2 linked regions of the Macaca mulatta genome follow. The protein of the gene in region 2 purifies or fractionates together with the protein of the main gene of each other region. This does not show direct contact. Links are inferred from orthologs where the notes say so. Each region holds a gene or a part of one and is shown on either strand. Other genes may lie near its edges.

Region 1 (3,650 bases), on a different chromosome or scaffold from region 2:
TTTCACTATGTTGGCCACGCTGGTCTTGAACTCCTAACCTCAGGTGATCCACCTGCCTTGGCCTCTCAAAAGTGCTGGGATTACAGGAGTGAGCCAGCGTGCTCTGCCTGAGTATTTGAGTTCTAAACGAGCCCCATCTTCTCCCTATTCCCCAGGTAAAGCGGAAAGAGCCATCGGAAATTTCCGAGGCCAGTGAGGAAAAGAGGCCTCGTCCCTCCACTCCTGCTGAGGAAGATGAAGACGGTGAGCAGGGTCAGGCATAAGGAGAAGGGGTGGTCTGTGTGGGTTCTGATGGGAGAGCAAGGGTCGGGGATGAAGGGGTTGGGTCGTTCTGAGGGCAGAGCCAGGTGGAGGTGCAGGGTTGAAATGCAGCAGTTCTGAGAGGTGTGGGATACACCAGGTAGGGTTATTCCTGGATTGTAGTTGCGGGTCTTCCTCTGGTCTGCTAATTTACATTTTCTGTATTTTGGGTTTTTCCACCCATGAAATTCAGTGTCTGGAATCACGGAATTCCAAGTTAAACGAGGCATCTCCCCAAGTTTCCCACCTGATGCTCATGCCCTCCTACCACCTTCCTCCCAGTGTGCTCGAGTTTCAGTCCTTGCTTGATAGCTACCATGGCCTGGAAACTTCCCCACTGAGTCAGATCTGCTTCCCTGGAGACCCACTGGCCCTCGTACTCTTTTCTTGGGCTAGGCATAACAAATCAGCTCCCGCTTCCACCCGACCAGAAAATGATACAAGATCAAATGGGCAGGACATATTTAAAACTGTGTGGGCTGGGCACAGTGGCTCTTGCCTATAATCCCAGCACTTCGGAGGCTGAGGCAGGAGGATCACCTGAAGTCAGGAGTTCAAGACCAGCCTGGCCAACATGGCACAACCCTGTCGCTACTAAAATTACAAAACAGCCAGGCATGGTGGTGTTCACCTGTGATCCCAGCTACTTGGGAGGCTGAGGCATGAGAATCACTTGAACCCAGGAGGTAGAGGTTACAGTGAGCCAAGATCATGCCACGGCACTTCAGCCTGGGTGATAGCATGAGACTGGGTCTTAAAAAAAAAAATATATATATATATGTATTATTATATATGTATTTTTATATGAATACATACGTATATATGTATTTACATATTTGTGTGTATACATGTGTAGATGTGTGTAGATATGTATATATACGTATATATGTGCATATATGTGTGTGTATGTATATGTGTGTATATATATGTGTATATATATGAAGGCCAGGCACGGTGGCGCTCACCTGTAATCTCAGCATTTTGGGAGGCTGAGGTGGGTGAATCACGAGGTCAAGAGATCAAGACCATCCTGGCCAACGTGGTGAAACCCCGTCTCTACTAAAAATACAAAAATTAGCCAGGTGTGGTGGCGGGCACCTATAGTCCCAGCTACTCGGGAGGCTGAGGCAGGAGAATTGCTTGAACCCGGGAGGTAGAGGTTGCAGTGAGCCAAGATTGTGCCACTGCACTCCAGCCAGGCGACAAAGTGAGACTCCATCTCAAGAAAAAGAAAAATACATATATATATACACAGATGTATATATACCTGAAGTCAGGAGTTCAAGACCAGCCTGGCCAACATGGCACAACCCTGTCTCTACTAAAAATACACAACAGCCGTGTGTGTGTATATGTGTGTGTATATATATGTGTGTGTATATATGTGTGTGTGTACGTGTGTGTGTATATATATGTGTGTGTGTGTATGTATATGTATGTGTATATATATAAAGGCCAGGCACGATGGCTCACGCCTGTAATCCCAGCACTTCAGGAGACTGAGGCAGCAGGATTGCTTGAACTCAGGAGTCCAATACCAGCCTGAGCAACATAGGTAGACCCTGTCTCTACAGAAAGTTTTAAAAATTAGCTGGGTGTGATAGCATGGCCCTTTATAGTCCCAGTTACTCAGGAGGCTGAGGCAGGAGGAGCGCTTGAGCCCAGCAGGTTGAGGCTGCAGTGAGCTGTGATCACACCACTGCACCCCAGCCTGAGTGACAGAGCAAGACCCCGGCTCAAAAACAAAAACCAAACTATGAAACATGAGGTAACTGTGAGGTGTTTGCGTTTCTCTGGTGAGCTTCCAGATTCTCATCTGTAAAATGAAGACCATCAGGAAGATTGGTAATAGTGTATGTAAAGCCGTTATGCAGGGCAAGTATCTTGTGGTTGATGGTAAATTTCCCCAACTACCACTCTGCTGGCCTAGACCCTGAGCGAGAGAAGGAGGCTGGAGAGCCTGGACGTCCGGGGACCAAGCCCCCGAAGCGGGACGAAGAACGAGGCAAGACCCAGGGCAAGCACCGCAAATCCTTTGCTCTGGATAGTGAAGGGGAGGAGGCGTCCCAGGAGTCCTCCTCGGAGAAGGTGAGGGCCTGGGCGCTGGCTCCCAGCTGAAGCCTGCTTCCCCATAGCCAGCATTTCTGTGGTTGGAGCCCAGGCAGCTGTGCCTGGTGGAGGACCAGTTGTCCCTTTCCTGTTGTTAGTCCCCATTTGTCCTTTTTCTTAAGGATGAGGAGGATGACGAGGAAGATGAGGAAGATGAAGATCGAGAGGAAGCTGTGGATACCACAAAGAAGGAGACAGGGGTGTCGGATGGTGAGCACAGACAGCGGAATTGACTTTGGGCTCGGAGGAGGGGTTCGGCTGCCTGGCTAGCCCTTTTCTGAGCCCACATGACCTTCCTTGGGCTTGTGGGTCACCTTTGCCCTCTGCGAGGGCATCTGTTTGGGCCACATTCTTAGGAACCCTTGGCCCCTTGACAGCAATAAGCTCAATGCTCAAAATGCTCCCTCCTCCTGCTCCCTCTTCTGCTGAGACATAGCTGTCCACAAGGACAGCCTGGAAGAATCTTTTTTTTTTTTTTTTTTTTTTAATGAGAGTCTCACTCTTGTTGCCCAGGCTGGAGTGCAACGGCGCAGTCTTGGCTCACTGTAACCTCCGCCTCCTGAGTTCAAGTGTTTCTCCTGCCTCAGCCCCCCTAGTAGCTGGGATTACAGTCACCTGCCACCACACCCAGCTAGTTTTTTGTATTTTTAGTAGAGACAGGGTTTCACTATGTTGGCCAGGCTGGTCTTGAATTGCTGACCTCAGGCGATCCACCCACCTCAGCCTCCCAGAGTGCTGGGATTACAGGCGTGAGCCACTACACCTGGATTTTTTTTTTTTTTGAGATGGAGTCTCGCTTTGTTGCTCAGGCTGGAGTGCAGTGATGCGATCTTGGCTCACTGCAACCTCCATCTCCCTGGTTCCAGCGATTTTCCTGACTCAGCCTCCCAAAGTGCTGGGATTACAGGCGTGAGCCACCACACCTGGCTGATTTTTGTATTTTTAGTAGAGATGGGGTTTTATCATGTTGGCCAGGCTGGTCTCGAACTCCTGACCTCAAGTGATCCACCCACTTCAGCCTCCCAAAGTGCTGGGCTTTCAGGTGTGAGCCACTGCACCCAGCCTCTTGCAGCAGTCTTGACTGATTTCCCTGTCTCTGTTTCTGTCCTTCTCCCTCTATTCCAGTTGATTTTCCAAACTGCTTATAGAATCTCTTTCCTAAAAGGCACCCCTGACCCTGTGACTTCCTTCCATAAGGTCCTTCCTGACAACCTGTTCTCCACAGGGTGTCCCCCCAGCCC
Region 2 (3,650 bases):
AAGAACACAGAAGAAAATGACTCAGAAAAACAGCGAAAGTCTAAAGTTGAAGACAAACCTTTTGAAGAAACTGGTGTTGAACCTGTATTAGAGGCTGCTTCTTCTTCAGCACATAGTACACAGAAGGATTCTAGTCATAGAACCAAGTTACCATTAGCAAAGGAGAAATATAAGAGTGATAAAGACTCCACTTCCACTAGGCTTGAGAGAAAGTTGTCAGATGGCCACAAAAGCAGGAGCTTGAAACATAGTAGTAAAGACATAAAAAAGAAGGAAGAAAATAAGGCAGATGACAAGGATGGTAAAGAAAGTGACAGTAATCATGAAAAGGCCAGAGGTAATAGTTCACTCATGGAAAAGAAATTAAGTAGAAGATTGTGTGAAAATCGGAGAGGAAGCTTGTCACAAGAAATGACTAAAGGAGAAGAAAAGCTAGCAGCAAACACTTTGAGCGCTCCCAGCGGTTCTTCCCTTCAGAGACCAAAAAAGAGTGGTGATACGACATTGATCCCTGAACAAGAGCCAATGGAAATTGATTTTGAGCCAGGTGTTGAAAATGTGTTTGAAGTATCTAAAACCCAAGACAGCCGCAATAATAATTCTCAGCAAGACATTGACTCTGAAAATATGAAACCAAAAACTTCTGCCACAGTTCTAAAGGACGAATTGAGAACTTGCACAGCAGATTCAAAAACAACAGCTCCAGCTTATAAGCCAGGCCGTGGAACAGGAGTTAATAGTAATTCTGAAAAGCATACCGACCATAGAAGCACCCTGACCAAGAAAATGCATATCCAAAGTGCTGTGTCCAAACTCAACCCTGGGGAGAAAGAACCCATTCATAGAGGAACTAATGAAGTGAATATAGATTCTGAAACTGTTCATAGAATGTTACTGAGTGCCCCATCAGAAAATGATAGGGTACAGAAGAATTTGAAAAACACAGCTGCTGAAGAACATGTTGCTCAAGGAGATGCTGCTCTTGAACATTCCACAAATTTAGACTCCTCTCCATCCTTAAGTTTAGTGACTGTTGTGCCTCTGAGGGAATCTTATGATCCAGATGTAGTTCCTGTGTTTGACAAAAGAACCGTTTTAGAAGGTGGCACAGCCAGCAGCTCCCCTGTAGATCACTCTGCTCTCTCTAATCAAAGTCTGACTGTTAGGGAATCAGAAGTCCTTAAGACAAGTGACAGCAAAGAAGGTGGTGAAGGTTTCACAGTAGATACACCAGCAAAAGCAAGCATCGCTAGCAAAAGACACATTCCGGAAGGTCACCAGGCTACTTTATTGGATGGTAAACAAGGAAAGGTAATCATGCCTCTTGCAAGCAAGTTAACGGGCATGATTGTGGAAAATGAGAATGTTACCAAAGAAGGTGGTTTAGTGGACATGGCCAAGAAAGAAAGTGACTTAAATGCAGAGCCCAATTTAAAGCAGACAGTTAAAGCAACAGTAGAGAATGGCAAGAAGGATGGCCTTGCTGTTGATCATATTGTAGGCATGAGTACAGAAAAATATGCTGAACCTGTCAAACTTAAGCATAAAAGAGGCCCAGGTAAAGTGAAAGACATATCAATTGATGTTGAAAGAAGGAATGAAAACAGTGAGGTAGACACCAGTGCTGGAAGTGGCTCTGCACCCTCTGTTTTGCACCAAAGGAATGGACAAACTGAGGATGTGGCAACTGGGCCTGGGAGAGCAGAAAAGACTTCTGTTGCCACTAGTACTGAAGGGAAGGACAAAGATGTCACCTTAAGTCCAGTGAAGGCTGGGCCTGCCACAACTACTTCTTCAGAAACAAGAGAGAGTGAGGTGGCTTTACCCTGCACCAGCATTGAGGCAGATGAAGGCCTCATTATAGGAACACATTCCAGAAATAATCCTCTTCATGTTGGTGCAGAAGCCAGTGAATGCACTGTTTTTGCTGCAGCTGAAGAAGGCGGGGCTGTTGTCACAGAAGGATTTGCTGAAAGTGAAACCTTCCTCACAAGCACTAAGGAAGGGGAAAGTGGGGAATGTGCTGTGGCTGAATCTGAGGACAGAGCAGCAGACCTGCTGGCTGTACATGCAGTTAAAATCGAAGCCAATGTAAATAGCGTTGTGACAGAGGAAAAGGATGATGCTGTAACCAGTGCAGGCTCTGAAGAGAAATGTGATGGTTCTTCAAGTAGAGACTCAGAAATAGTTGAAGGAACTATTACTTTTATTAGTGAAGTTGAAAGTGATGGAGCAGTTACAAGTGCTGGGACAGAAATAAGAGCAGGATCTATAAGCAGTGAAGAGGTGGATGGCTCCCAGGGAAATATGAGAATGGGTCCCAAAAAAGAAACAGAGGGCACTGTGACATGTACAGGAGCAGAAGGCAGAAGTGATAACTTTGTGATCTGCTCAGTAACCAGAGCAGGGCCCCGGGAGGAACGCATGGTTACAGGTGCAGGTGTTGCCCTGGGAGATAATGATGCACCACCAGGAACAAGTGCCAGTCAAGAAGGAGATGGTTCTGTGAATGATGGTACAGAAGGTGAGAGTGCAGTCACCAGCACGGGAATAACAGAAGATGGAGAGGGGCCAGCAAGTTGCACAGGTTCAGAAGATAGCAGTGAAGGTTTTGCTATAAGTTCTGAATCGGAAGAAAATGGAGAGAGTGCGATGGACAGCACAGTAGCCAAAGAAGGCACTAATGTACCATTAGTTGCTGCTGGTCCTTGTGATGATGAAGGCATTGTGACTAGCACAGGCGCAAAAGAGGAAGACGAGGAAGGGGAGGGTGTTGTGACTAGTACTGGAAGAGGAAATGAAATTGGGCATGCTTCAACTTGTACAGGGTTAGGAGAAGAAAGTGAAGGGGTATTGATTTGTGAAAGTGCAGAAGGGGACAGTCAGATTGGTACTGTGCTAGAGCATGTGGAAGCTGAGGCTGGAGCTGCCATCATGAATGCAAATGAAAATAATGTTGACAGCATGAGTGGCACAGAGAAAGAAAGTAAAGACACAGATATCTGCTCCAGTGCAAAAGGGATTGTAGAAAGCAGTGTGACCAGTGCAGTCTCAGGAAAGGATGAAGTGACACCAGTTCCAGGAGGTTGTGAGGGTCCTATGACTAGTGCTGCATCTGATCAAAGTGACAGTCAGCTCGAAAAAGTTGAAGATACCACTATTTCCACTGGCCTTGTGGGGGGTAGTTACGATATTCTTATATCTGGTGAAGTCCCAGAATGTGAAGTTGCCCACACATCACCAAGTGAAAAAGAAGATGAGGACATCATCACCTCTGTAGAAAATGAAGAGTGTGATGGCCTCATGGCAACTACAGCCAGTGATGATATTACCAACCAGAATAGCTTAGCTGGGGGTAAAGATCAACGCAAAGGCTTGATGATTTCCACCAGTACCACAAATGATTACACCCCTCAGGTAAGCGCAATTACAGATGTGGAAGGAGGTCACTCAAATGCTCTGAGAACTGAAGAAAACATGGAAGGTACCAGAGTAAACACAGAAGAATTTGAAGCCCCCATGCCCAGTGCAGTCTCAGGAGATAACAGCCAACTCACTGTCAGTAGAAATGAAGAGAAAGATGAGTGTGCCATGATTTCCACAAGCATAGGGGAAGAATTTGAAGTGCCTATCTCCAGTGCAACAACCAT

The links. The genes of interacting proteins can lie anywhere in the genome.
Region 1: the proteins of BOD1L1 (region 2) and SETD1A purify together in Homo sapiens (affinity purification with mass spectrometry; 3 studies listed by BioGRID and IntAct, with this or other methods). This does not show direct contact. The link is inferred for Macaca mulatta from reciprocal best matches to the Homo sapiens genes BOD1L1 and SETD1A.

Annotation. Positions count from the first base shown.
Region 1 is NC_133425.1:29,601,458-29,605,107, forward strand, and holds part of SETD1A (histone-lysine N-methyltransferase SETD1A), read left to right. Parts: intron 1-155; coding exon 156-243; intron 244-2,230; coding exon 2,231-2,388; intron 2,389-2,531; coding exon 2,532-2,619; intron 2,620-3,650. UniProt on the Homo sapiens protein: Histone methyltransferase that catalyzes methyl group transfer from S-adenosyl-L-methionine to the epsilon-amino group of 'Lys-4' of histone H3 (H3K4) via a non-processive mechanism.
Region 2 is NC_133410.1:12,673,141-12,676,790, reverse strand, and holds part of BOD1L1 (biorientation of chromosomes in cell division protein 1-like 1), read left to right. Parts: coding exon 1-3,650. UniProt on the Homo sapiens protein: Component of the fork protection machinery required to protect stalled/damaged replication forks from uncontrolled DNA2-dependent resection.